Kluyveromyces lactis: one gene and its partner. The protein of the gene in region 1 purifies or fractionates together with the protein of each later gene. This does not show direct contact. Links are inferred from orthologs where the notes say so. Each region holds a gene or a part of one and is shown on either strand. Other genes may lie near its edges.

Evidence for each region.
Region 2: the proteins of COX6 (region 1) and RIP1 purify together in Saccharomyces cerevisiae (affinity purification with mass spectrometry; 4 studies listed by BioGRID, with this or other methods). This does not show direct contact. The link is inferred for Kluyveromyces lactis from reciprocal best matches to the Saccharomyces cerevisiae genes COX6 and RIP1.

The regions. Positions count from the first base shown.
Region 1 is NC_006042.1:2,029,621-2,043,136, reverse strand, and holds COX6 (cytochrome c oxidase subunit VI), read left to right. Parts: upstream 1-6,072; coding exon 6,073-6,516; downstream 6,517-13,516. Other genes in the region: dolichyl-phosphate-mannose-protein mannosyltransferase PMT6, read right to left, coding at 1-481; YPP1 (Ypp1p), read right to left, coding at 827-2,986; TMA22 (Tma22p), read right to left, coding at 3,419-4,021; ELF1 (Elf1p), read right to left, coding at 7,454-7,969; CIC1 (Cic1p), read left to right, coding at 8,872-10,002; KLLA0_F21824g (transcription activator GCR1-like domain-containing protein), read left to right, coding at 10,588-11,418; KLLA0_F21802g (MATE family efflux transporter), read right to left, coding at 11,618-13,450. UniProt on the Saccharomyces cerevisiae protein: Component of the cytochrome c oxidase, the last enzyme in the mitochondrial electron transport chain which drives oxidative phosphorylation.
Region 2 is NC_006041.1:2,006,934-2,023,632, forward strand, and holds RIP1 (ubiquinol--cytochrome-c reductase catalytic subunit RIP1), read left to right. Parts: upstream 1-7,238; coding exon 7,239-7,880; downstream 7,881-16,699. Other genes in the region: ribosome biogenesis protein URB2, read left to right, coding at 1-304; GEF1 (Gef1p), read right to left, coding at 354-2,624; RNA binding protein SNU13, read left to right, coding at 3,229-3,609; putative E3 ubiquitin-protein ligase HUL4, read left to right, coding at 4,067-6,487; KLLA0_E22595g (uncharacterized protein), read right to left, coding at 9,005-11,035; DNA-dependent ATPase RAD26, read right to left, coding at 11,315-14,416; PET191 (Pet191p), read right to left, coding at 15,492-15,818; RAV1 (Rav1p), read left to right, coding at 16,176-16,699. UniProt on the Saccharomyces cerevisiae protein: Component of the ubiquinol-cytochrome c oxidoreductase, a multisubunit transmembrane complex that is part of the mitochondrial electron transport chain which drives oxidative phosphorylation.

The DNA of each region.
Region 1 (13,516 bases):
GTGTGCACAGTGAGCTAAATATAGCATTGAATTGCCTCATAATCTTGAAATTTACCTCATCGGGATAACTAGAGTTGGAACTAAAGTCAAAGTTACCATCAAATCCCGCGAGGTATTCACCTAAACCTATCAACATCTTGCCCAATGGTGGATGCACATCATGGTAGAACTCATGCTTTAAATAATATGATCCAAATTTCCCAAAATGAGCCTCGTCCCAGACAACGATGTTGCTTCTGTCAATCTTGTAGAACCGAAGCACGAAAGATACCAGTGTTAGTAATAAGCAAACATATGTGTGAAATCGGTGGTTTCTGTTGGAAAATATTGAAGATTTCAATGGCTTCACCAGCTTATCCTCTACAGGTTCATTATCTCTTAAGAAGTCCTCTAAAACCTCTGTACCATCGAATTGTGCTTTTCTTTCTCTCAATCGCAAGTCTGAAGAGTTCGGTAAAAATCCAGATGATTTAGAAACCATTATTACCCTTGGACGAACCACTTGCCCTTCCTGTATAAAGGGTAACCTATTGCGCTTTCCAATTCATTAAAGGATGCCCAGGTATCATTTCTGCTTCTTTCCCGAGATCTTGGACACGGTCCATCCGTAGATATATCAACATCGAAAACGAAATTAGCCTTCTCGATAAGTCAGGTGACTAGACAAGCTTGGGTAAAATTTAGCGTGTCATACATAATTCAACTCAGTATATTCTATAGTCACAATATAAATCTATATACTAGAATGTAATATGTTATACTTCAGCTGCCACAGTGGAAATATTATGGATATCAGAACACTTGGATGAGGTAAATTGAAAGAATATCAGAAATTACAGAACTTGAATTCGCGAACGGGTTGAAGTTCTTCGTACTTGATGCATCGCCATAGCGCCTCCTGTTGTCTGGTAGAATCAGAATATATTTCGTATATTTTTGATAGATACCACCACACTGCAGATGTTTGATAACCTTCTATCGATTTATCGACTAGTTCTTCGAATAAGAACTTAAGTCTGGCTACAGCAGAAGAAGTTTCGAGTGACGTGGCAGAATTTCTATGTAGCTCCTTTTGGTTTATTTTGGAGTTATGCTTGAGATCCGTATCCAGGTTTGCCTCTTCATCAGGAAGCACGATTTTTGCCAAACCGATCAATGCCTCGACAGATGTAGAGTCATAGTGCAAAACTTTTTCGAATTCCGCTGTCGCTTTTTCAGAGTGACCATGTGTATACAACACGAATCCTTGTGCGAGGTTGTGGTTCAAATTAACATATTTTGAAGTTACGTTCTTAAACTCATCTAACGCAGCCTTTACATTTTCGATATCGTCATTTTCCAGGTATAATTCCAATGCAAACAACCAAATCTTCTGCAATAGATAGTCGTTACTCTGATTGATTTGAGGACCAAGGGGTTCTGAAGCATCTGAAAAGAGACGCTGATAAAGTTCGAATACCTCTGGCAAAATTTCAAGTGCATCTTCAAGTGCAAACATGTCTCTAACTAGTTGAAGTTGAGTTAATTTAATGTGAATAAACTGCCATTTTTCATCAATTGTGAATTGCCTGCCTTCATCGAAAAGTTCACACATTGATTGAATGACAGAATTGATAATTTTGAAACTTACTTGTAAATCTTCATTGATGCAGGATTCACATAACGCAAGAAGATGCCAACTAGCGAAATGTTCTGGATGAAGTGTTAATATTTGTTTTTTTAGATAAGCGATGCATTGGTCAATTTGTCTTAATGTAGCCAAATGATAAGCGAACTTAAACTTTAATGACACAGAAGCGTTCAAAGACGTTTGCAAAGAATTCGATAGGTAAAATATCTGACTGTGATCTACCAAGGCTGGGAGAGAAGAAGCGCTAGTTTCGTATAACGTTTCCCATGAACTGGATAGAACAGAAGCTGTTGATGAGGCTAGACATAAGTCCAATACATCTGAGCTGCCTTCTAGTGCCTTTTGTTTTTCTATAATAGGGATACTGTACTTGTTGTGAATTCTTTCTAGCAACTTTAAGAAATCGGATGATACGTTTGCTGGCATGAAGAACGGTTCAAATGGCGTTTTACATGTAGACAGAATGAATTGGTACGATGAAACTAAGTCTAATAAGTCAGGATACCTTTTGTTAAGTTCGTAATATTTGTTTGAATAATTGACCAAATTGGTAAAGTTTAGAATGCTCCTCTTTAGATCGACCTTTCGATAAAAGAGCATTGCTGATTTTGCAACCGAAATACTTTGGAAACTTTTTTCCATACTATCAATGATAAATTGCTCCCATTCTTTCTTCACATTTAAATTATTTATTTTGAGATGCTCTTGTAGGACCATGTGGAATTGTTCTAGTTCAAAATTATTTGATTCATCAGCATTAGGGAAACGACTTTTCTTCAATAATGAATGGCTATAAGATAGAAGATTTGAGTCAGTTGCAGAACCATTAAGGGTCAAAAGCATCCATTGGAATGGTGTTTTTGGCTTAAAATGAGAGAGGTCCAGCCCTTTTATTATTGCCTGCAAATAATGCCAAGTTAAGCCATCAGAATATTTCGGAATAGTCCAGCTTTCAGAGGAAAACTCAGCTAAGTCGACATTTCCCTTATAAAATAGCCTTTCCAAATCTAGCATTCTTCCAAATCTATCGTATCCATTAACGCTGCCTAACTTCTTAGAGACGTACTGCAACCCCTTTTCCTTTTCATCAAGTTCACAGAAAACAATACCATAGATATTGTCCGCAATTGCACAGTGTAATTCATCCTTTAGAACGGGCAACTTCTCCACTTCAGATAAAAGGGCCGACAGTGCACTGAATTTTGTCTTTGTAGAAATGTTTATGTGATAATGGGCTCTATAATGAAGAGATAATAATTGATCCAGCAAAGCATCTGACGATTGAAAAACGCTTGAACCAATTAGTCGAGAATCTAAAGCATGATTCACCGAATCATCAATGTATCCTCTGGTCATAGTACAATTGACTTCCGAATGCTTCCGTGATTCAACCAATTGGTAAGCAAATACAAGAGTGCTCAGTGTATTACTCAAGGCTCTTTCTCTTGTTTACTCTCTGTGCTCGGTGAAAATAGCTTTTAGTTTATTTTACATTTTGACATGTTTCCTCACCATCTAACGGTGCATAATGGAAGTGGAAGTGAAGAAAAAGTGATCTTACCCGGATATTCTTTTGTAAGGTATTGCCCTTCCTCACCATGGGAGTATATTTATGGGAACCTAATAGCTACTACAGTTATTATATATGAGGGTATAGATATAGCATCTTACTGATGTTTAATTGTGCAGTTTGTTGAACGATGAATGCGGTATTATATAAATCTTTCTACCTAAGAGGCTAACATAAAGTTATGACAAAAGGGTGTCAGCTAAATGTGCTTCTCATAATCATTTCTTATTTTCGGATCCTGGTGTAGTTGTAGTTTCAGCTTTTTTCTTCTTCTTCGCGGCATCGATTACTTCTACCTTAACTTCTTTCATACCTTTTTCCTCTAGTAAAGAATGTATATATGCTTCTACTTCATCTGCCAAATCACCTTGAACAATCACTTCTTCTTTCTTCTCGGCATTTTTGGAGATAGAACAACCTGTAGCAAATTTGGATGCAAAAGTTTTGGAAAGTTTCTTCATGTCAATTTCGAAAACTTCTAGTCCAGAGATAGCAATCATACACTTCCGTTTTGTTCTTGCTTCTCTTCTGATCACAACTTTAGACGATAATTTCTTAGCCAATTCTCTTTCCTCTCTAGCCTGTTGTTTTCTTTCTAGTTTCTCTAGGGCCTTTTCAAGCTTCTCCTCTCTTTCATCACCAATAGATGATTCTGCCAATTGTTTAGACACATCTTCAGTGACATCGCCATACCATTTGGTGTACAATTCTGGGTGGTTTTCTTGTAACCAAGCTTTACAACGTTTGAATTTACCGGAAAATTCACAGTATTCAGCAGGAAAGTCACACACACCACAGTATATAACGTTAGTGAGAGGCATTCTGTATATTCTTCTGTCTCTTTAATTAATTCTAACGTATAAATCTCAAACTGAATCAAGCGTAACTTAATTACACGTAATGTTATTCTGAACACACCTCATCTCATGCATTAGTGATTTTCTGTTTCAATATTTTTTTCAATATTTCACTGTAAAGATCGATTCACTTTCTTCAGTAACTACGTAATCTACTACTTACATATACTAAGTGTTTACTTAGACATGCACAAATAGCGGCGAACTTTGGTTACACTCACACTGAATACACTTCTTTGGAATGGCAACGTATGATGATTTTGCTACTGATACTGTAATAATAACGTCAAAGACAAAGGACGTGTGCTCCAAGCCCTTGTTTGATGAGATCGTAAATAAGGTGCAAGAATGTGTGGTGGATACTCGACAGATTTACGGTGCGGATGCCGTGCGTGTCATTACACTTCCTGGATTCAAGAGAATATTGGTAACATCGCCTAATATTGAGGCGAGCCGTGAAGTGAAATCCTTGAACCCATTATTCCCTGATTGTAAATTTGGGTTCTCCATCACGAATCACGTGGCTGAATCGAATTCACAAGCTGGATTTCCACACGCTGGCGCTGACACTGTGATGAATCACCTTAAAGTTCCCCCTGCCCAGACATTATTTCTAGTGTCTCCGCCAGCGTCACCTCCTCCGGGATTTGATTACTCTAGGCTTGAAGAATGGCCTAATCGTAACACGGGACATGAAGAGGCTGGTGCAGGTATCGACGATGATTCAAAACCTGCTGTTCGAAAAGTGTTTGACAATGGACATACCCGAATAATAGTTGAGGGGTCTACAAACTCTGAACCAAACCATACGGCTTTGATGCAACATATCAAGACCGCGATGCCACCTATCTCAACGTTTGACGATATAGAGGATTAACTATCGCGTTTAGAGACATAATAACCCGCAGTTTTCTGCGGAGATGAGGGATCGAACAGGGGAACCTGCCTACCGAGAAAAAAAAAACCTTTGAAACCACGCGACTTCCGGGTAATTGTATTTGTATTGAAGTCACGTTCTCCCGCTGTCCTATTACCCGACTATGTGGTAAAAATCATCGGTGACGAACCAATCATATGCCAATACGTTCTCCTTCCCCACAAACAAGACACCCTACAGAACGGTCGGACCAGTCTCAATCAATGCCCATTACCCCCCAGCATATTTCACGAATGTGTTTTATTGGATTCTATAGATACTGCTTGTGGGGTTTATTATCACGGACTTATTATCTTGTTTTATAGGACATTATTTCGAAGATTATGAGAGTTAAGGTTTCATTTCCTTTGAACATGAGATCTTTAATCTGACATCGCTCGACTGAAAAATGACAGGCAGCAGAAAGTCAAGAAATACTCAATTCAAATAATTAAAATCGAACTAGATAAACGACTTGCTCGTAAGTACCACATGTAGGATTTTTTGGAGTGTGAACTTTTGTTGCAACTCTGCCGATGAATTATGTTAGCCCTCTTTTTTTCTTCCATCCATTTTCCATAGACACACTATTTAAAAAACTGATAATACCACTTTTTTGTAAACTACTAAGAAGATGATGCATACAAAGAATAAGATACAATAAAAGTTGTTTCGAATGGAACGACTCACTCGAGGTTCAAATTTGTGCTATTCGTTTCGCAAGTTATTACTCTTACTTTCCTTTTAACAATCTCGTTTTTATCTAGTTCAAAGACGTAGCTATCCACTAGTTTAAGTATTTGAACTGTTTGTTGATATTTGTCCTATGCGATTTTAAGTATTTAATTTTTTTTTTTTCATTCTTCATTACTTCAAATTTTTAAAAAAACTCCAGAGAAAATTATCGGTCGATTTACCTTTTACCTAACCTATTTGATATATCTTTAAAGCGTTTTACATTAAGTTTTAATTACAATAGAACTCGACTTTGAATCTTTTGTGAATACGGTTTGTTATAATTCCTTTTAGAATAGCTATTTGATCATCTTAATACAGTGAATCAAATCCAAATCCCGAATCAACCAATACAAAGAAAAATATGTTGTCCAGAACTTTGTTGAGAGCTGCTATGCCAGTAAGAGCCGTTGCTCCGGTTATGATGAGAGCTGCTGTTGCCCCAAGAGTTGGTCAATTACAATCTCAATTTGTTTCTATCAGAAAGTACTCCGATGCACACGAAGAAGAAACCTTTGAAGAATTCACCGCCAGATACGAAAAGGAATTCGAAGAGGCTTACGATTTATTCGAAGTCCAAAGAGTGTTGAATAACTGTTTCTCTTACGATTTGGTTCCAGCCCCAGCTGTTATCGAAAAGGCCTTGAGAGCCGCCAGAAAGGTTAACGACTTGCCAACTGCTGTCAGAGTGTTCGAAGCCTTGAGATACAAAGTTGAAAACGAAGATCAATACAAGGCTTACTTGGATGAATTGAAGGATGTTAGAGAAGAATTGGGAATTCCTTTGAAGGAGGAATTGTTCCAATAAGTGCATATAGAAGAACATTTAATCTAAAGTCACCGGCTTTATCATCTTCTCCCATACTATTTTCACTTTTTGAGAACCTTTCACTAGGAAGGAAAGAACAATACTTATCCACAACACCAACAACCAAATGAAACCAAAATAAATATCATCAAAAACTATATTTACGAACGTGTCCCATCCTATGACACCATATATTCTTGTCACACATTTGTTTGTTTGAGGAGGTTTTTTTGGTGCTGACTACTGGTAGTAGCAGATACGAAGACATTATTTATTTGCCAGGACATATACAGAACCGTGAATACAAACCTTCAAGAAACATTTACAAACAATTCAAATAAAATCAAGATTATTATTATTATTATTATTATCATCATCATCACAATTATTATAATTATATATATGTTATACTGACTAAATTATAAGGAAAAGTAGTTATATATCAAACAAACAGCTATTAACATACGCGTTTAGTCTATTTAGCGGTAGACAGAAAAATGTGCTCTTTTGTTTTCACTTGATCGTATGTTAGGTTATTGCACCGTTACGAGCAGAAGTAATTTTATCTTGTTTGAATTCATACAACTGAAGTTTTCGAGTTTTGTTATCTCGTGTATCACCATCTAGTTCAGAAATAATGCCACATTACTGAGAAGTTCGATATACCAAAGATACTATTATTGATGTAGAATTGATATATAAATTCTTCTGCAGTACAAACTGAATACTATCAACCGATGGTTAAAGCCAAGGTGAGCGTTATATAAATTCTTATAGGAAACAGATAAGATCCAGCAATCTCTTTGAACGTAAATATCAGCTCCTTTATACCTGATTTTATTCGTTCTACTAGTATATCTCTGGGTAATATATAGATAGATAGATACAATTGTAAGATTAATATTGGTGTTCGATGTCTGTGTTTCTGTCGGTTCGACTACTCGTCATCACTGTCCATCCATGCTGCTCTTCCTCTTTTGTTAGATATTTTACCGTCATCGTCTGAGTCTGATTCTGGTTCTGAGTCTTTTCGTTCGGTCGCTCCTTTTCTTCCGTAATCCGCATCTTCGTCTTCTTCTTGTTCTTCTTCTTCTTCTTCGTCAGAATCTATTCCAACAGCTTTTCTACGGTTTGAAGAAGGCTCAGTATCAGAGTCACTCTCGTAGTCACTGTCACTGTTTTCATCTTCAGATTCGCTATGTTTCCCTTCGTTAACTTCCTCAACCGCATCAAACCAGTCACTATATACATCTACCGGTTGTGATAGACCATTAATGCGGGTTTGGAACGATTGTCCACAAATCTTACAATGAAGCGAGCCAATGTTATTCTTTTTGTCCATTGTTACGCTCACAGAGCGTTCGTGATTACAGAAGAGACAATTGAATGCCGTATCTAACCTCTGTACTATCTTCTTGGCTGGACCTCTGGATGACTTCTTTCTCTTACCCATGTCTAATGCTCTTCTTATTTGTCTTGTGAGAGCGTATGCTTACCCCTGCGGCTAGATTTGATTAATATATGCTAATATGCCTTTTGCAGTATAAATGAACGGGGACGATGACTATGTTTACGATATAATAATAATAATAATAATAATAGCAACTTAATAACTCATAAATCAGATTCGTGCGGCGTATTCTCTGTTAAGGTATCCTTTATATCGATCGTGAGTCCTGTTTGACAGCCGAAAAAACCTAACTCAAAAATAGTACTGTTCCGAAATAAACCAGAGAAAGAAACCCTAAAATACACAGTTTAAGCCCTTTTGTATTGTAACCCCATTCACTGAACGTAGCCCGTTGCTCATTAGTAACTTTTGCACAAACACGCACCGAGATTCAATATCAGATTCGGTTACTCTTTATTTCTTAAGTGTCAAATGTTATCAAATTTCAAGAAAAGTTTCAAATCATATATTACGGCCTTCGCTTTCAAAAAGCAATATTTACTAACTACGTGAACACAGTGGAGCTCCTGCGAAACAGAAAATTTTTATTTTTGACAATAGAGAGCTCATCTCATCATAGCTCATCTCATCTCATCTCGAAGTATGTTGCACACCTAACACGATTAATAAAGTAATGGTATGTAAAGTATTTAAGTACCTATTCTTATTTCTCAGCTCAAAGGATTGATTAGATATATACTGGATATTTCATAGTTGCCAGTACGAACTCGAGAAGTAAGCTTACCTAGGTGAACCAACAATTTGTTGATCTTTTTCTGAGACAGTGCGAATCAAGTAAGTTAAAAAACGCTTGGAAAGAATCCAGAATATAGAGGAAATAACTCCACTCATCCAGTCTAGTATATCTACAAGCACATTATAAGCAATATCAAAGTTTAGATAATATGGCAACTAAAACTAAGAAAAGCAAGGTTTCGACCAAAGCCACCAAGGCTACTAAGGGCAGTAAAGAGGAAGAAGTCATTCCAGTTAACAGAGTTAACAATGCTGTTATTAAATTGCAAGAATATTTGAAGGAAAATGGATCAAATGACAATCAGTTAATTGATGATTCTGAATTGGAGGCTCAGCTACAGTTGATCCTAGTCAACACTGAATCTTTTACTGGTTCTTTGAAAAACTTCAAACCAAAACTAATTACAGTTCCTCATTCTATCTTCAAGCCATGGAAGGAAGCTAGCACCACCATGGTTAAAGATTTCAAGACTCTTTTGATTCTAAAAGATTCTGATATCAATTCAGTGACATCAGAAGACTTGATCGATCTACTTCCAGAACATATTACTATTGATGCCATCATATCTGGTAAAGATTTGAAGACAAAATACAAGGCTTTTGAAAAGAGGCGTGCATTTGTACAGGATTTTTCTTTCATTCTAGCTGATGACTCGATAGTGACAGCTTTGCCCAAGCTATTAGGTGGTAAAGCATACAGTAAGTTGAATACCACTCCAATTGCCATTAACACAAGATCGGATAACAAGTTTAACAAGACAACTTTGGTAAATAGCATCAAGAGAATTTATGATACTAAAATCCCAGTCAAACTTCCAAGAGGTAACACGATGAATGTTCATCTAGGTTCATTGGAATGGTTCACCCCAGAACAATTGACTGAAAATATCATTTCTGTCGCTAAACAGTTCATCGAAAAGTACAATATCAGAACCATTCTTCTCAAATCTAACGAATCACCAGTCCTTCCATTATACGTTAATTTGGAAGTATTAGACAAATTGGTTGGGTCCAGACATGATGCTAAGACTTCCGTTCAAAATGTCATAGAAATTGATGGTGTCGAATTGCAACTATCACAATTTGAGAAATCTTTGTTAGAAATTGCAAATCCAGACGAACTAGACTCCTTGTTTGCTACGCAAATTAAGCAAGCCAAAAGAAACTTGGAAGAGGTCGAGGCAGAAGAAGAGCAAGAAGAACAAAAGAAAGAGCAAACGAAAGAACAAAAATCCAGCGCTAAAAGACAAAAGACAAAGAATAAAAACGTAAAAAATTAGAGGTACAGGAGTATCGCGTTTTTTTTCATTCCTCTTTCTTAATTTCTATCCTTCACAAATATCGTCTTAAAACTTACCCATTTAGCATAGATTTAACGGCTGTCACCGCTCCTACAATGATAGTTTTCCCTACAAAATGTATTTAATCTGTACTCAAATTTTCCAGATAGCATCGATACTTTGCAATTCATAAAAGAATAACAGTAGTTAAATTCAGTGCGTTTTCGAACCAGCAGGAAAACGTTATTCCTAGTATTGTTTGGATGGTGCAAACCCATCGCCGCTCGAACAACTTTTCTGATGTGCCACATTTAGGTTTGCTGGTTTTTCTGTGTGGACTGGTGCGTCCATGCAGTCAGTGAAGGAAAAGGAAAAACGAAAAATAAAAGTGTCACAAAAAGATTTAATTACTATATTAAACATATGTCAAATATTATATAAACCACAGATTTCACAAACTTTCACATCATCACCTCTGTTATTCGTGCTTATTCGTAGTTTAGTATATACACTATTATTTACATCTGAATCAATTAGTATTTTCAAGTTTTGATTGCATTGCGAAGACGCCGAGAATCAAATGAGATGCCACAGAATATTGAACGAATAATTCATACATTCCAAAGCAGAGTAGACACTTTACAAACTGATTGGAACGTTTTATGCGACGCAGTGTGTAATAGCAAGTGTCAAAGTGTCAATGGTCAAATTGCCCTGTTAAAATCTAAGTTAGATTTAATACAACAACAGCATACTGGGATTATTGTTGATTTAGGAATCATTAAAACACATCTTTTAGCTCATGATTTGGATATGAATAACCAGTTTTTAACCGAGGAACAAGAAGTGGATTTTGACGTAAATAAAGAGAATGAAGATCCTCTACCTCTACTTGGAATTGATGAGACTGAAGCTGACATTTCGGAAGGGCCAAAAGTTTTCAAAGAAGAATTTAAAAATGAAATTCTTTTCAGTAGTCTCAGCAGAGAAGCGGAGAACGCATCGCGAGAAATGCCATCAAGGTACAAGGTAGCGAAATCACAACACTCGAGCAAAATCAGACCTCTCGGCGCAAAAGATCTGAACAATGTTGAGAACTATCACCTTATAATGACAGATTGTCCCAAAAGCGTCCATGACCTTTACCACGAGTTTTATACAGATACAAAGCTTCAGATCTTGCATTTCGAGGAGAAACATGGTGCAGGTCAATTGTCTAAATTACCCAAGTTGAGAACTTATCAGCGCCGCAGCGCATTGGTGAATGCTATCAACAAATATGCAAAGGGCAAAAATATAACCGTTGAGCAATCCATCGAACACTTCCAAGGTATTGTTGAGGAAAATGATAAAACCATACCATGGTTATATAATAATTTAGCCAAAATTTTGGAACAGTATGGTATTGTACAATAAAATGATTAGCAAACAGCTGACAACTCAATCCTTCAACTAGAAGATGTACTGTTAAATCTTTTATATCTAAACAACAAAAAAATAAACAGATAATGATATATGAAAAGTTCAATATAAGATGCATTGAATGGGGTTTACCTTCTTCCTAATTTATTAATGTACGATGGTATTTAGTCGATATGTGGTCTTTTCAGAGACGTTATACCATGGCACCTTCGCTATTTCTAGACTTTGCTGCACGGATAATATCATTCCAATTACAATGAAATACAGCATAGCTTTGGAAAATGCTCATGAAAACTAAACCAGAAGTGATACCCCACCATAATCCACTAACACCAAATCCGTAATGAAATGTTAGCAAATATGATACTGGGATACCTATGCAGTAAAATGCAAAAACGTTGATGTATCCTCCTATCTTTTGTTGGCCTTGGCCTCTCAAACAACCTGCAGTTGAAGCATTAAATGCATCAAAAATTTGCATGAAGGCCAAGATTGGTAACGAACTAGAAACCAATCTGACAACATCGGGTTCTGAGGAAAAAAGCCTTGCTATTAGGTATCTAGCTTTGTAAATCATTGCCATATTCAACGAACTAATAATAAACGATAGTAATAATGACACTTTGCAAGTAATTACGCAGCTTCGATACAAGGACGCACCAATGAAGTTTGCAACTCTAGTCGATGTCGAAATTGAAATTGAAAAGGGGACTTGATAGGCAAGAGAAGCGATAGTCGAAATAATTGATTGAGCGGCTAATTCATGGGTACCTAAATGAGATGCGAAAATAGTCAAAATTTCAAAACCCAAAAACTCAGCTTCAACCATGATAATACCAGGCAGTGCTAAGTTGAACATCTTTCGTGAATTCTTCAAAATTTGATGCGGTTTGATAAATCCATTCCAACATTTCATGGGATTTTTTTCATTTTTCGTGTATAAAGTGTAAGCAAACAACCCAAGAGCCATTAACCAATAATTCAATACTACACTAATAGGTGCACCAAGATATCCTATTCCAATATTTTTATCCCACACTAAAACATAGTTCATCAATGCATTAAGGGGAGCACAAACGAGAAGGACAATACTGGAAGCGTGGAAGATTCCTTGACACTGTAAGAATCTTTTACCACATTCAAATAGGATAAAGGCTGGAATCCCCAGAGAAACAATTTGAAGATATTTTGCAGCTAAGGCACATAGTTCTCTTTCTGGAATGAATAATGCAAGTATCTGTTCAGACCATTGCCACCATGTGAAGAGAACAGGTAGAGAAAGAATGATCGTGATAATTGCACATCTTTGAAACAACACACCAACTAAGTGATAGTGGTTACCACCGTAAGCTTGGGCACAAAGTGTGTCTAAACAAGTACAGAGCCCTTGGATGGCAGCAAACCCAGTGATACTCGCTGTCATAGATCCTAGGGTAACAGCTCCTAATTCATTGCTTCCCAAATGTGAAACGGAAAAAATTGATGCTAAAGATAAAGAGTTTTGTAAAATGAAAGTCAGTACAAGAGGTGATGCATTAGATGTTATCACTATGGCCTCTCTCTTAAATGTGGTATTTATGTCTTTCCCTGATTCAATTGCATCCTCCCAAGTTTCAATCACTTCTTGATCCTCGATTGATGATGTTGGTGCAAAGGAAGAGTTTGGATCATTTGTTGAATATGCAGCATGATTATGAAGAGCATGATTAGAATTGTACAGCTTATTGTCCATCAATAGATCCCGTTCTTCTCGTATTAGATTTTTCGGTAAGGCGGAATGAATCTCACTACTATCACTGCTTCCCGTTCGGCCTGTAGAACCATATTCGTGTTGTAAAGTACGAGAATTATTGGTTGCGAAAAGAGAATCCTCTGAATCTTCGCTAATATCGTCGTCTATAAATGCTTGAGTCTTGTCTCCCGAAATATAATCTTGAGGAGAGAAAAGACCGCCTTTACCATTATTGTTCGAGTAAATTATGGAAGATCTTCTCTCCTGGGTTGTATGCTTGAATTGCTTAGACATTTGATTTTGGGTATTAAAAAACTAGAGAAAAAGGGGGAAAACTCTTCTCAAGGTTGTACTGGTCTC
Region 2 (16,699 bases), on another chromosome or scaffold:
TTGTGAGCCTGCAAATGTGAGAAGCAGTAAGCAGACGACATTGTCCTCGGCTGTTTCTAATGTTAAAAGATCGCTAAGAAAGAATCTGCCAGTTGTTCTTCTACAATTCATCAAATTATCAGTTTCAAAACCATATCCCACCACGATAAAGAAAGAGTTGATGCTCGCAGTATACGCTATTTTTGATCTTCTGTCGCAGACTGAAATGAACTTGCTTAATGCTAGCTTGGACAGTAACGGCAGATCATATTTCAAGACATTACATGCGGACTACAAGAAAAGTGGCAAATGGCATGATGATTGAAAAGTGGCAAATGGCATGATGATTGAAAAGTCCTAATCATTTTATAAAGTTATGTTCTTCTACATTTATCTATATACCATTCAATTAGTCGTATTGCCTTCCTATCAATTCTATCATCAAACGCATATAGAGGACCAAAGTATTCTTTATGTTTAATTCTCATGAAATGCAAGACATCTTTCTTAGTGACTAATCCGGCCATGGTTCCGCCATTCTCTACTATAATAGTTGAGCAGCCCAATTTCTGGAACATCATGAAAAGTATACTCAACGGAGTAGACGGACTAACAGTAATCGGGGTATAATTGATTTTTGATGTTAACGATTCATCTCCACATTTTCTGAAATCAATGATATCGTCGGGAGATCCAGTAGTGGCATCTAAGAAATAGCGAGCGTACTTTGTTAATATAAAGCCAGAGCATGTCGAATCACCTTTGGAACAGCTGCTGGTGATCGGAAGACCGCTAAATTCGGCTGCTGGTCCATCTATCAAATTTTGCAGATCTTGACGAGTCATTTTTTCATTCACGTAGACTAGTTCTTTCGTCATGATGTCATCTGCATAAAAGTCATCCATGAATTCGTGATCCCCTTTCTGCTCTTCCATCAATGGGAATCCATTAACTATAATCATTTGGTCAGCAATTCCTCCCTCGGCACCAAAGGAGGAACAGATAATTCTAGTGAAAGCAACAACTACCATGGTAGGAAGAATATACGTAAATGCACCCGTGACCTCAAACATGATCACCACCACTGTTAGAGTTAGATTTGTTATACCACTTAATGCTGCAGTTGCACCAAGGAAAGCATAAGTTCCCGGTGTAATGACATTTGGTCCAGTAATATAACGCTCTACTATTAAACTTACAGCCCTTCCAAAAGTTGCACCAACAGCCATTGAGGGAACAAAAATTCCGGCAGGTACTCTACAGCCGTACGAAGCAACGATTAGCAGGGCTCGCACTACAGTTGCAAAGAGTAACGAAAGCAATAAATTGATGAACGAGATGAATGAGGCCTCGTTGTCAATTGTACAAAGTCTATGCGACCATAATGATCCTTTCTCATTAGTTTGACACTCATGAAATAAAATTTCCATAGATTCTGTCATGTCAAGTTTCAAGAACTCGTTGAAATAAGAGATAATGGCAGTAACAAACGTTAGTATGACAACTTCCTGTAACGGCCATCTTGAGAGATATTTCTTTCTAAAAGAAACGTAATGCACATTCCATCTGCTTATGTATTTGCCATATAAACCACCAAAAATTCCAAGAAGGATGAATATTGGGATTTCTTCCACATGCCATTCTCTATCATAGGTGACTTCAAAAACAACGATCTTACCATTTCTAGATGGATCAATATATTGTAGAGCAGAAATACCTGCCAGAGCAATATAATACGACTTCCACAAGGCAGATAACTTGAAAGGAATAGAAGCTGACATCTCTTCAAGTGCAAATAAGACACCTCCAATAGGTGCACCAAAAGCTACTGCAACACCACCTGCCGTCGAAGCTGTCAAGTATTCGGATTGTTCTGGGAAGGCCATCTCCTTGCTCAAGAGCCAATTAGTAATTACATAACCACAACAGGTAGCATAGTGAACAGATGGTCCCTCTTTACCAACACTTAAATCAGAAGAAATGGCAAGCGGTAAAGCGACAGATTTTACTATAAGGGTCTTCAAATTCAAAAACTCCGGGGTATATTGGAAACCTGATACCCAGGATTTAATTTCTGAAATACCAGATCCAGTGGCAAACGGTGCAATGTGTAGGACCATCAGACAACTAATAGTTGCAAATGTGACCGATAAGAACATGAATAGCAAAAATGAAAAGATTGGATTGGTTGCTTCTACCCAAATACCTTTTTCGATACATTCGCTTTGGGATCTTTTAAAGAATATTTCTGCGGCATTGCCAGCCGAACTTATTATGGAACCATAACTCCTTTTACTGATCTCTTCTTTAGGACAGCAGAATGCCTTGTTTAACAACCAATTTCTAGCACAATGTCCAGATTTCCAGTTTACTAACAATTCAGTGAATATTTGTAAAAAACCAGCAATACCGCCAATGGAAAGCCCAATGGCAGTCAAAGTAATGAAACTGCTACCTCTTTTCCATATTAACCTGCGGTACTCATACCAACTCGAACGCGGTATATCAAATTCGTCATGCGATGTTCCCTTGGACAATTCACGCTTCTCTTCCTCAATCCAATCCACAGAAGTGAACTTATCGAAATTACCGACTTCTGGTATATTTCGCAGAGCCTGCTCCTCATTTACCTCTTGGTCAGTCATAGCTAGCTATTGCTCATCAATTGGGTCATACCTAAGTCAAGGGCAATACTATGAGTTTATTCATAAATGAGTTGATAAATTTACATATTGTAATACGTACATTTTTCAATACAAAGAAATATGCACCTTTGAAATTAGGTAAAGAACTGAGAGTGAAAGCAGCTCTTCCTGGGGAAGTATGAAGCATACGATGGGGAACAACAACTACAGACTGCGTGTTTTAGACCATAATAGAGTACTATAGCAATGGCGGAGAATGGCCAAATGATCACAATAGGAGGAATGTATATCGTTCTTCTGAATTAATATAGTGAAACAGCCGTACATTACACCAGTTTGTGATCCCATTTGTTTCTTTTTGCTCATCAGTCGAGGAATTCGAAAATTTTCAAAAATTGAAAAACTAAAGAAAATGATTTCAAGAGACTAACCTCATCTCATCTCGTTCCATCTCATCTCACTTTATGATAAAACTTTTTTTAGACTTGGACTTGATCCGATCTTATTTCTAGTCTTAAAACACCAGATTCAAGCGAGCTTTTCATTCTTGCAAGGAACTTGAACTGACCCAATCGGATACTTCACTTCATATTATAAAGAAATAATGTCTGCTCCAAACCCAAAGGCTTTCCCATTGGCTGATGCCACCTTGTCCCAACAAATCTTGGATGTTGTTCAACAAGCTTCCAACATGAGACAATTGAAGAAGGGTGCTAACGAAGCTACCAAGACTTTGAACCGTGGTATTTCCGAATTCATTATCATGGCTGCTGACTGTGAACCTATTGAAATCTTGTTGCACTTGCCATTGTTGTGTGAAGATAAGAACGTTCCATACGTCTTTGTTCCATCCAGAACTGCTTTGGGTAGAGCTTGTGGTGTTTCCAGACCAGTTATTGCTGCTTCTATTACCACTAACGATGCTTCTGCTATCAAAAGCCAAATCTATGCCGTTAAGGACAAGATTGAAACTTTGTTGATTTAAGAAGGATTTGCACATTTCGTGATTTCCTTTTCTTATTCTTTATATCAATCGTTTAAGGAGTTAACCGCTTTGTGGGGGGTTTGCATAGCAAAGAAAAGATTTACTGCACGTTCATTGATTCAAGTGATCGACAGGTAGATTTTTTTTTTACGACCTCTGTATATTAAACATATATATTACAATTAATACAACTTTTTGATACATTTGCATCCTTCTTAACAATGACATCAACATCTGATGGTTCTAGTTAGTGGTCAGTACATAGTTTTTTTTTGTCTGTTCAAATTAAGAAATGGTTACAGGCCTGTGTATTCCAGATGATATTGTCAGTTGGTAAAAAAAAGTAATAAATTTGACACAATCTTTTGTGCTTTCGACTATCCAACCCTAAATTTACAAGTTTGTTGAAATGAACTTAGAGGAAGAAGTCTGACTGTCCATCAGTAGCTGCTCGAATATGTTCAAGTTTAACCCATTACACATTGTTGGTAGGGAAAAGATAAAAATCCGCTATCAAAGTTCGGATAGGTTGGATTGTGAAGACCCGCCAAAATTTAGGGAAACTCGATGTAGATGTTGCGGAACCTTGTTACGACATCCTATAGACGCAGTTAAGTTCAAATGTACAATATGTGAGGTGACTGTTGTTTTGAGACAAACAGCAAATTCTAGGGATACTGAGGGCAAGATACTGCCGGACCTTGAACAGTTATCCAATATAGTTGGTCAATGTCTCGAATCGTATAAGAAAGATCAGACAGGAGATGAGACCCCCGCTAAAGAGCTTAACAGCTACTTCATTCCTGTGGAAAAATACATTGTTCAAAAATTCGGTACAGCGGAAGCTTTGAATCAATTATTCAAACCAACTGTTAAAGATCAAATTATAAACTACGAAAAAGCAGTGACATTTTATAATTTGATAGGCTCATTGCCTACCAAAAGACCCATTTATCTCATTTTACGTGTCTTTAATGAGGTTTTGAAAAGGCCAAAGATCCTAATGGATAAATGGGAGCACTATTTATTCATTTTTTTCATCTTGGAGGTACCTTCTTTAAGGCAATGTATTAACAACAGTACTACAATTTCTAGAACACCCAAGATTAAGACTTTAAGTTACGAAATATTAAAAAGATGTATTGGTTACTTGGGGTCAATGAATAGTAAAGTTTCGGTGAAATATAAGAATCACTTAGTTCGTTTACATCCATTGAAATTTCAAAAGCAATGGGAAATTTTAAACTTGTATTTGAGTTATCAGTTCCAGAAAATAGGACCCGGTCCGCCGCATTCACCACGAGGATTATCAGGAACGTTGTTAACTGAATCATCGCCTGTGGATGAAACCAAAGATGGAACTGTATCTTATCTTTTCCACCCCGGAAGGCAAAAGATACCGTTAGAGAGCAGGTTCAGAATTGAAAAATACGGACTTGACTGGCATATTCGCACGGTGTGTCAGCTAATGAACATATACTTTCAAGCTCATTGTGAACAGCCAAAATGTGACATCTCGGTTTTTTACAATATGATAATTGATTTCATTGATTACAAACGTGATTTTATGATGTGGCATAAGATGAATAGAGAGCAATGGAGGACCCTTGACGATTTATCCATGACACAGTTACATGAAACGCACTATACTGCCTTATGCCAGTACCCTTTTTTGATGTCCTTAGGCGTTAAGATAGCCATAATGGAGTTCGAAACTGGGAAAATGATGGAACATAACGCTGAGCAAGCGTTCTTAAAGGCGTTGGACTCTCGTAAACTTTACGATGTACATTTCCGAATAAAGGTAAGACGAAGCCATGTGACACAGGATTCGCTAACGTCCATTCAACGACATCCACATGATTTGAAAAAATCCCTAAGAGTGGAGTTCTCGAATGAGCCTGGAATCGATGCTGGCGGTTTAAAGAAAGAATGGTTCCTTTTATTGACTAGGGAATTGTTTCATCCAAACCATGGACTATTTCAATACGTGGAAGAAAGCCGATTATCTTGGTTTGCATATGGGAACACCGGTCTTAAGCTTCATGGAGAGAACAACAATGAACTATACTATTTGTTTGGAGTAGTGTTAGGTCTTGCAATATATAACAGTACTATATTGGACTTACATTTTGCGAGGGCCATGTACAAGAAACTATGCAATGAGCGGATCACTTTTGAAGATTATGAGGAGTTGTACCCTGAGACAGCAAGAAATTTAAAGAAAATGTTGAGTTATTCGGAACTAGATTTTAGTGATATATTTGGATTGTCGTTTGAGACCACGTATTACGATGTAGCCAGTGGTATCAACGTCACGAAACCGTTATGTGACGGAGGAGAATCAATCCCAGTAACCTCGGAGAATAAGACAGAGTTTGTTGAAAGGTGGGTAAATTTTTATATGAATGAGGGGGTCTCATCGAGTTTTAGTGCATTCCAATCCGGGTTTACAAGAGTCATCGGGGATGGTTTGGCTTTCCCGATGTTCAAAAGTTGTGAAGTAGAAAGGCTCATCTGTGGCAGCATAGAACAAGACATGGATTTCGAACAACTTCGCGCTGTGACGAAATACCAAGGCGGATTCCATAACCAAACCCCGGTAGTGGAATGGCTATGGGAAATACTACCACAATTATCCCATGAACAGCAACGTCAATTTCTCCATTTCGTGACTGGGAGTGACAGAGTTCCAGTGACGGGACTTGCGACGCTTCCGTTCAAGGTAACCCGCACAACGTCCGGATCACATGATCAGTTGCCCACTGCCCATACCTGTTTCAACGAACTCTGCTTGTACGAATATGAGTCACGTGATACTCTTCTTCTGCGATTGGTGACTGCCCTCGAAATGTATGAGGGTTATGGGTTTAAATAATGTCAGCAACAAACATACATTAATATAATCACTACAAACGAACCAATCATATCGTGAACCAGGCTTTACAGAAAAACCTGCTTCCCTTGAATAACCAGAAAACACAAGGAAATGGACACTTACAGCTACTATGTGAAAGCCGTTAAATGCGAAGCGTTTTACTGACACTAGGCCCAAAGGCCCTAGTGTCAGTTATCATTTCCACCAAGAAAATCTTCCTATACTTGACCATTTACGCAAATAAAATTGTATACTTGTAAATTGGAAAATAATAACCACACCAGGAAGTTCTGCCTCGTCCCAGCTCATTTACACTGTCCATTCCTGTCTGGTCGAATTATATCTTGTTTAATCCTTTAGCGCTTCTTACTATTGGCTTTTTTCCCAATCTGAAATTTTTCTTTGTTTTTTTTTTTTTTGCTTCCTTCCGCACTTATTAAGCTGCAATGGCTTCTGTTTAATATGGATAGAGATAATTTGATAATTTCTCTGAATAAAATAAAATAGAAAAAGATTTAGTACAATCATTTTATTATTACTTTCAGTTCCAACAACATTTTTGCATTGATATATATATTTTATAATCTGGCTTGGTGATTCATATCTGTGTATATATTTATTGATACTCCGAGAGTGCTTTGCTGTTGTGATTAAAGTCGATATCATAGAAACGATTTCTCCGAAATAAGAACGGGAAATTAGTACGAATAATACACTCTAGCGATATATCCATAACTAACTAATATCAAAAATGTTGGGTTTAAGAAACGGTTTGAAGACTGGTTTGAAGTCTGTTGCTCCAGCCAGATTAATTTCTACTTCTGCAGTTGCTGCCAAGTCTACTTACAGAACTCCAGATTTCGGAGACTATATCAAGGAGAATAACGATGCTGACAAAGGTCGTTCTTATGCTTACTTTATGGTTGGTTCTTTAGGTTTGTTGTCCTCTGCCGGTGCCAAATCCACCGTTGAAACTTTCATCGCTTCTATGTCTGCATCTGCAGATGTTTTGGCTATGGCTAAGGTCGAAGTCAACTTGGCTGCTATTCCAGAAGGTAAAAATGTCGTTGTGAAATGGCAAGGTAAGCCAGTTTTCATCAGACACAGAACCGACCATGAGATTCAAGAAGCTAACAGTGTTGATATGTCAGCTTTGAAGGATCCTCAAACTGATTCTGACAGAGTTCAAAAGCCAGAATGGTTAGTCATGTTGGGTATCTGTACTCATTTGGGTTGTGTTCCTATCGGTGAATCTGGTGATTTCGGTGGTTGGTTCTGTCCATGTCACGGTTCCCATTACGATATCTCCGGTAGAATCAGAAAGGGTCCAGCTCCATTGAACTTGGAAATCCCTCAATATGAATTCGATGGTGAAAACTTGATTGTCGGTTAAGCGCAGAAGGAAAGCTAAAAAAAGATTATATTATGTTGATAAATTGTTGAAATAGGCTACCTTTTTTTGCTATTTCTCAAATTTAACTCTCTTCCTTTTTCTCTTTCTCTTTGTCCTTCTCACTCCAGCTTTCACTAATAAAATTCTTTATTCCCATGTTGATGTCTCCTACTCCCCCCATGTATTTTCCAAGTAGGATTCACAACCAAGGTCAATATCTTTTATGCTAAAGTTTGTCATATTGGAATCGTGTAAGCTCGTTTTTTCACGTTCCATCATCACTACCCGATTTATTATTATTTATTCATACAAACATTTTTGAAACCACAACTACCCGTGCCCCCATAGCTCAAGCAAACTAAAAGGATAGCAAGCATGAAATGCTTTTGAAGCATTGTTCAATTGTATGTCATCACTTTTCCTTTTAACTGCACTGAGAAACAATCGCATTAATACCTGAATGACCACATCAGGCTACTACCGTGATTGAAACCCTTTTATTATATTCCAAAATCTTTGAAATAGTCCTGCTCTACCCGATGCATGGTTATACCTACAATCTGAATCGCTTAATGTTGTATCGCCTTCTTTTCCATAAAAGGTCAGACACGTATTTAAAGAAAAGCGGGAGTATTGGATTAATCTGTCAATAGTAACTTTAACCTTTGATTTCCCTTTTTCAACGAGATTTAGGCCTAGGAACAATGCATTGGTATTGCAATGGGATGTCATTATTTCGCTTTTAATTTGCCTATTTTCCCGCTAATCACGAGAAAAATAAATTCAATTAATCAATCCTATACTCTTAAGATGTCTCAAAAACTGTTAACCCAAACCATAAAAACCTAAAAAAATCTCTTCCAACCAAAATATTTTACCATAAGAATAGAGAAATTGACGAACAATTAATTTAAATTGAGATTACCTTTCTCTCTAGGGATTCAAATTTTTTATCATATTAAGGTTTGTTTCCTGTTATTTATATACTCTGTTAACGATGCCAAGATTATATATTATATGTATATGTATATTCCCCACATACTCTTTTAAAAGAAATGAACAAATTTAATCCATTTGAACGCCGAAAATTGGGAACCCTTGAAAAATCCAGTGCTGTTTGTAGACTAAAGTTCTGGGTTAGCTTCTAACAAGCTTTCAAGATCATCTGGAATTCGCTGCCAATTTTCTCGATCCCATTCGGTTAGCATATCACACATCTCTTTTCTTATTTTGTTGATATCCCTTTTCTGACAATTGCACCCGTCATTGACACTATCAGGAGGCAGCAATGGTTCTGAATCAAGTCCAGGGTATGATATCAAAGATGAAGTCAACGAAGATCTGACCATAACTTTCTTCTTCGTTTCACCGTTCTTCCTCTTTGGAAGGGATATCTTTTCATGCTGCTCAATTAAATCTACGCAATAATCTGGCAAATTCTTCGGTTTGTAATCGTTGACAAGCTTTATCCTCCAGTAAACTGACCAATGAAGTTCGCCATATTCAGGTATATTCCGTCTTCTACCAAAATTTGGCACGTAAACGTTTTTCCATTCACACTTTTCGTTTTCGATTCTTATTCCTATTGGAATCAATTCAGCAATCCACCAAAAAATCACCCTAAAGATACTCACATTTCCACTTCCATCATTTTTTTTTTGACGACCGATGTCCTTCCCTGGTTCATCAGTATCAAAACCTTGCTCAAGATCAGAACAACTAGATGGTGATTCCGTTTTCCAGTTAAACGTTCTGAAGTAAACGTTCTCTGTTTTATGACGCCACGGTAACCAACTTCTCTTTGATGGCAGTTTGAAGCCGTGGTATCTATTAATTTGATCTTCATCATATTCATTAGTCTCTTTTTTGTGAAATGGGTTTTTCATAGTAAGATTGCTCTTTTTGAAACTCAAAAGATCGTGCGATGCTGACAATAAGCTTCCAGCAGATGTATATTTGCCAGCAAATTCATGGATGATTCCTTTTTTAAAAAGTACTCCGGATTTGATCGCTTCTGAGAGAATCCATCTTAGAGACATATCACTTAAAAAATGATTTTTCTCAGTGATATCCGGTGGCCAACTCCCACCAATATCTGAGTGATCGCCTGGAAACCACTTCTCTATTAGATCCGATGATGTCCTTTTACTATCAAAAGTACCATGGGGAGAGTCCACCTCGAATATACCTTCAACTCTCTGGTTCACGAAATTATCTGTTCTTTGGGAATGTTCCAGCTCTAGGAAATTGTTGATTCGGGATATTAGTTCTTGTACGGACTTACTAGATTGTGATTGTGATGAATTAGGTCTTGAGCCAATGGTATGATTTATAAATTGGTTACTGGTACTGTGATAGTTTGTTTTCGGGGCAACATTCTCATATTCTATGACATAATTTCTATAGTTCAACGAAAATAAATTTGGTCTATAAGGATTAGGGGAAAACGACTGTTGTTTGAACTTCCCTCTTCTTTCGTCAATGCTAACCGCATGTCTGATGTGACGAACGATGCCGCTCCTAGCTGTATAGGGAAAGAGCCGATCTAAAAGTATACCACAAGAATTCACCGAATCAAAGAGGCCTTGAAAATGTATTTCGATCTCAATATTTCTTGAAAACGTTTTCTTAAATTCATCCACCAAAGTAGTCGCATAACTCGGTTGTACGGGCTGTGCAGCGTATTCCCAGGCTTCATATATTTTCCAAGCCATCCATATCATTTCATCTAGTCCAACGTTTAGAAGTCCAACCATTTCCAGCATTCCAGCTAGTACCCTTGCTATGAACGCACCTCTGCTGAACCCGAACATAAATATTTTGTCTCCGGGTTCGTAGTGGTGCATTAAATACAGGTAAGCAGTCATAATATGATGATCCAAACTGTAGGCAACAGCAGAATCAATAGCCGTCTTCAATTTCTTCCAAGTAACCAAACCACCAAAACCAGCTTGTGCATCATACTCCAACGAACTACCGATGCCTGGTTGGTAATAACAAATCTGCCTTTCATAATCAGAGCCATCAAGCATCCGATAAAGCTTCAATACATTGCTGAAGGGGTTGGGGCCGAAAGTATTATCCGTTCCATCAAAACAAAGTATTATATTTTTACTGGTGGTACTCTGACCAGTGCCCAAAGAGGATGATGCCATTGAATTTCTAAGAAAAGCATAGAAGAGCTATGCTATTTTTTTTGGCACTTTTTTCGGCTTGATGTCTCGAAATACTAGGTTTATATACAGAAGCTGCTCGAGCTGGTGTATCGAGCGCCACATATTACATCCAATGCTGTATGATCTTTTGTGTCAGTGGCATCAAAAAGAAAAAAAATATCTTTCGTTACCCGCATTTGTGACAGAAATTTCACTCAATCTGAATGAGGAAGCCAGCATAGATAGAAGAGAATTCAAGGGTGCTACAAAGGTAAATGTTTAATCGGTATCTCTATTAGCTGATTTAAGTACCCAAACTTTCTTTAACTTATCAAATACTGCGACATCTTTTAAGATTTTCCGAACACGTTCTACGTCGGTTGAGTTTGTTAGCTGTAATCCGACTCTAATCACTAGATCTGCTGATTTGCTCGCAAACCCTGGTGACTGAGATAGATATTTTTCAATGGACGCTTTGAGTACCTCGGCGCTCTTCTCGTCCTTCTGTGTAGCATCTGATTGAATGTCCTCTCTTTTAATTTTCTCCCGCTCTAACGTATCCCGGTTCAATTTTCTTGCAAACTTGCTGTCATTTGTAGATAATGCAGTCCTACTCTTTCTTATTTTACCTGCCCTACCGAATTTACCAGTCCAAGTCGGAGTGCCAACATCAAACCTTTTAGTTTGTTTCCGTGAGTTTTTTAATGCATCAAGTGCAGATTTGACGTTACGAGTAGCTTCTGCCCCAATGATATCATCTCTCTCGTTAGTATCAACGCTATTTGCTGAAGAAAATAAGCTACCCATGATTCTGTCGTCTTCGGTGCTCTGCTTCTCATCTTGTTCTTTAGAGTTGAAAAATCCCTCCAATTTGTGAACACCCGAAATCTGCGAAAGTTTATCAAAATCGTCCGTCTCCGAAGTCTTGTTCTGCTTTATATTACCCGTTTGTTTAACAATTTCTTGATTGAATTCTTCTGTTTCATATCCATTATCTCCTCCTAGAGTGAATAGATCGTGTAAATCATTCATTTTGAAAAAACGCTTTTGTTTGGGATCTTTCAAGATTTTATTTGATAAAAACTGCTTAAAGATCTGTCTGTGATAAATCTTCTCCTCAATACTGCCTGCAATCATTAATCTATAAATAGTGACCTCCCTCTTTTGACCGATCCTCCACGCACGTTCTCTGGCTTGCATATCAGTAGATGGATTCCAGTCCGGATCAAAAATTATAATCCTATTTGCCCCTGTTAAATTAATACCGAGTCCGCCTACTCTTGTTGTAAGTAAGAATACGTCATAAGGTTCGTTGTTGAATTTATCCACCAATGATTGACGAGATCCGATGTTAGTCGTACCATCCATCCTTAAAAATTTAAGATCTGATAGTTCAGGGTCTTTGTAACTGATGAATTCTTGTAGAATATCCAACATTTGTCGGGATTGAGTGAATAGAAGAGTTTTGTGACCCTGTGAATGCCATAGTAGTAACAACTGCTTTACTACTTGCATTTTGCCTGATCTTGCTGGATTGCCGTAATCCGCGTCTTCATAATCGTTCATTTTCTTTCGTTTTAAATCCAATAAGTCCGGGTGGTTACAGATTTTTCTTAATATATCAATACCATATAGAACCTGCCTTTTCCCTTTCCTTATTTTCATGAGCTCGTCAGAGTGGAGGAATTCTAAGTACTTCGATTTTTGGTACTGTGTTAGCTTGCAGAAAAGAACCATTTCATTTTTCTTTGGTAAGTCCTTAGCAACATCACTCTTTACTCTTCTTAATAAATAAGGGGAAATCAAATCTCTGAGAGCAACAGCGCACTTATAACCAGTTTTCACTTGTATATTTGAAGCGTTGGCATAGCCACCCATGTTGATAGGATTAGCAAACTGTTGTTGGAATACAGGAAGAGTCCCAAGTTTTCCTGGATAGACGAAATCGAAAAGGGACCATAATTCTGTCAAGTTGTTCTGAATTGGTGTCCCTGAAAGAATAATTCTGTTCTGTGTCTTTAGCTGCTTGCATGTCAAAGAGATATCTGAATCAGGATTACGAATCTTATGTCCTTCATCCAAAATAGCATAACCCCACCTTACATTCAGTAGCGCTTCAGAATGTAATCTTAAACCAACATACGTCGTTATAATAATGTGACCATCCGTGATCACTTTTTCTAAAAGCTTTTTGACACTTTTTCTCGATTCAAGTGAAGTCCGCGTTTTCTCTTTTTTCTCATAGTCATTATATGTAAACGTTCCGTAATTTGAAGTCATCAACATCTTCTCTAGTTCCTCTTCTGGAATCTGTGTACCTTTATTCATACCGGCACCAATTGAATGTAGAATTACAGCTCTAAAAGGTGGCCACCAAGTATGGAATTCGTTACACCATTGTTTCATCACAGTTGCGGGACAAACGACAAGTACAGGGCCATTCAATTTTCGGGAGTGGTGCAAAGTGGCAAGAAATGCAATAATTTGAATCGTTTTACCTAGTCCCATCTCATCTCCTATTATGCCACCGCATCCTTGTTGATAAAGCTCACATAGCCATTGCACACATGTTTTTTGATAGGGAAATAGCAAAGGGAATATATCACCAGGTACCATGAAATCTTCACTGATATTGGCGTCTGAAATTTTTGGATGTGGTTTCAACCATTCTGGAATATCCGGTTGGTTATCGTAATCGCGATCTTTACTTCTATTGGCTACCCACTTCTTTAATCTTTGTTGATAATGATGCTCGTCACCGTCATCAATAGCCTCTGCAGGTTTACGAATTACATCGAGTTTCCCAGCTGATTCGTTTAAAAGTTCTTCTGAATCACTTATAAAATCAGCCTCGTCTTCACTTTGATCTTCTTCCTCGTCAATGTTCTTTAACATTTGTCGTTCAGCTAGTAAGATTGATTTAGATTCTTCTTCGTCTTCTACCTTAAAATTCACACTATTTCCGAACCCTGTGATTTTACCGGTCCTCAACAAGAAATCTCTTTCCGACTCACCAGGTTGTCTCTCTGTAGATTTTGTAGTCGTATCGGCCTCATTAGTCTCTTTCAAACCTTTAATTCTTTCTTTGATTTCAGCAATATCCTGCTCTAAGGGTTTTAATTCATAATTCTCGACATCTTCAATCTGCTCTTTCAACTTAGCACGAACACTAATCCTACTGGCGTTGTAACGTTTACTTAACAAGCTGTCCCGTTTCTGTCGAAGGATATCCCGCTTGTTTGTGTACCTCTCTAGAAGCTTTTCTTCTTGCTCCAATGTCTGTTTACTAATCATATTATTAGCATTATTCTCTATTTCTTGTTCTAATGATGTCTGAGACATCATTTGAACCTTCAACCCACCTAAATTGTCACCGCTCATTGTTGATGGTTGTTGGTTTTCAAATGCGTACCCAAATATCTTCTGGCACTCTTTACTGTTGTATGGTTTTTGTATATGTTTTACTCATCGCAGGAATGGTGCATTATTAAATCATATCTCAGGATTTAATGATTCAATTTTTCAGGTAAAACGTTAGTGGAAGTCTCAACGCTCGAGACGATAAAACAAGAAGTAAAAAAAACTAGAGTCAATGGGCTCGGTGATATTAATCCCGAAATGGCCTTTCAGGGCGTGCCTTCAACCCATCATCTTATATAATTTTTCCCTATTCCCTCTTATATAATGATCAAGCGCGGCAAATTTAAAAAAATTCGGGGCGAGCTGGGAATTGAACCCAGGGCCTCTCGCATGCTTTGCAGTAGTTAAACCTCGTTTAACGAGGTTTGGCTAAGCTATTAACCCAAAGCGAGAATCATACCACTAGACCACACGCCCTAATAATTGTTGAGGACTTAGTTTCAGAAATAATCGACCTACCTCTAGGAGCTTGTAAGGTGTTTATATTTTGATATAACCTTCCCAGAACTAGGAGCCTATTCACGAAAATAGCACTTGCATATTATCATGTCACTCTATTCCATACTGCAATATATCTCAACTTAACAACCCTCGGGTTAACCTGAGACAATTTCCGGGTTTTCTTGCAGGCGAGTATGAAATGAAAATATGGCTATTAGTTAAATATATGCATACCGATACGTATATTAATCGAGTGTTTTCCTAATGTCAATCTTCTTGTGTGGTAAATTTATGACATCTGTGCATAGCTTCGTACAACCTACTAGATAGCCATTCCTTAAAAGATATATTAACCGAAAGGGTATAGTCAAGTTTGGTATTCTTGGAACAAGACGATTTCAATGAGGCAATGCGTTAACAAAAGGGTTTAGAATTTGGATTGTAGAAGAGCAGCACACGGCAGAGTATTATTTACAAGATATGGTGTGAGTTATCCAGTTTTATGCAGGAGCGACAATTTGATGATGAAATGTTTTGAAGTAAAAAAAGAGAATTGAAAGAACAGAAACACGCATAGCAAAAGGGATTGTATGCCTTAATTCTTGCTGGCACTATCTAGTAACTTCAACTTCTCATACTCTTCCTTGGCGTTGAAGTCTCCGGTAGATAGCTTTTCATATTGCTCATCGTACTTTCCCGTAGATAACGCACCGTTGCCTCTGAATCTTTTGGTCATGTCAACAATACCACGCTTACAATCCAAAAATGCTTTCATCTGTGCCATACAGAGTTCTGGTAGATCTTTACTCAACTTAGGATCTTCTATGCACTGCTTAGGAGTGTTTCTTTCGATGAGCACGCATGGCGATCTCTGCAAACAGATAGCAACAGCTTTCCTTTGATCGTTACAACTGGCACCCATTTTTTTGGTATATGCTTATGATTAGCTTTTTCTATTATTAGTATTCTTACCAGCCCTTGAATAAATTCCTCTAGTAGCTCCTATATAGCATGAACTTCTTTGGATTAAAGACCGATGACCTGTATTTTGTCACAATGATCACATCTTTTATTAAAGGTTCTTTCTTAGTCTCCAGGAAATACAGAAATCGTTAACAATGACGATAGAAAGCACTATACTTGGAAATGAATAATACTAAGGTTAAATGTTCTACGCAGACCGAAAGGGCATGTTATGTAACTACATAGCACCAAGTCTCTGAAGCTGTTGCCCTGTTAGCTGGTATTTGAAATTAACTGTGTGCACAATTGGGTGTAAATGACATTGAGTTTCCTCCCCGGTGTGCCTAATAGTACTCCTCAAGCAGCTTGCCAGCGGTCATGGAACCATAATACCATATTGGCATACTGCTCTGGTAACAATCTAATATTGCTTTCCAATCGTTCTGAGCGGCTTCAAACAATATATTTGAATTCAGATTGTCATGCTGTCGATGTTAATCCTCGTAATGGTCTCATTGCTGTTGCTGTTTCTCAGGAAGTGTACATTTACAAACCGCTGCATCAAATCATGAAGAACCCTAAATGGGTATTCTGCTGTAAAGTGTACCATGATGATTCCCGCGTCAACACCTTGCAATGGGGTATGGGGAATGAATTAGTATTGGGATCAGATTACCTATCGTTTTGGGATGTAAAGGATGTTTTTGGCGAGTACAAACCTAGACTATTATGGAGTAAAAGACAACCTTTGCCAGTTTATCTTTGTTCAATAACTTCTGATTCTAAACTCATATCTAGTATGAATTATAACGATAGAACAGTGAAAATTTGGAGGCGAGT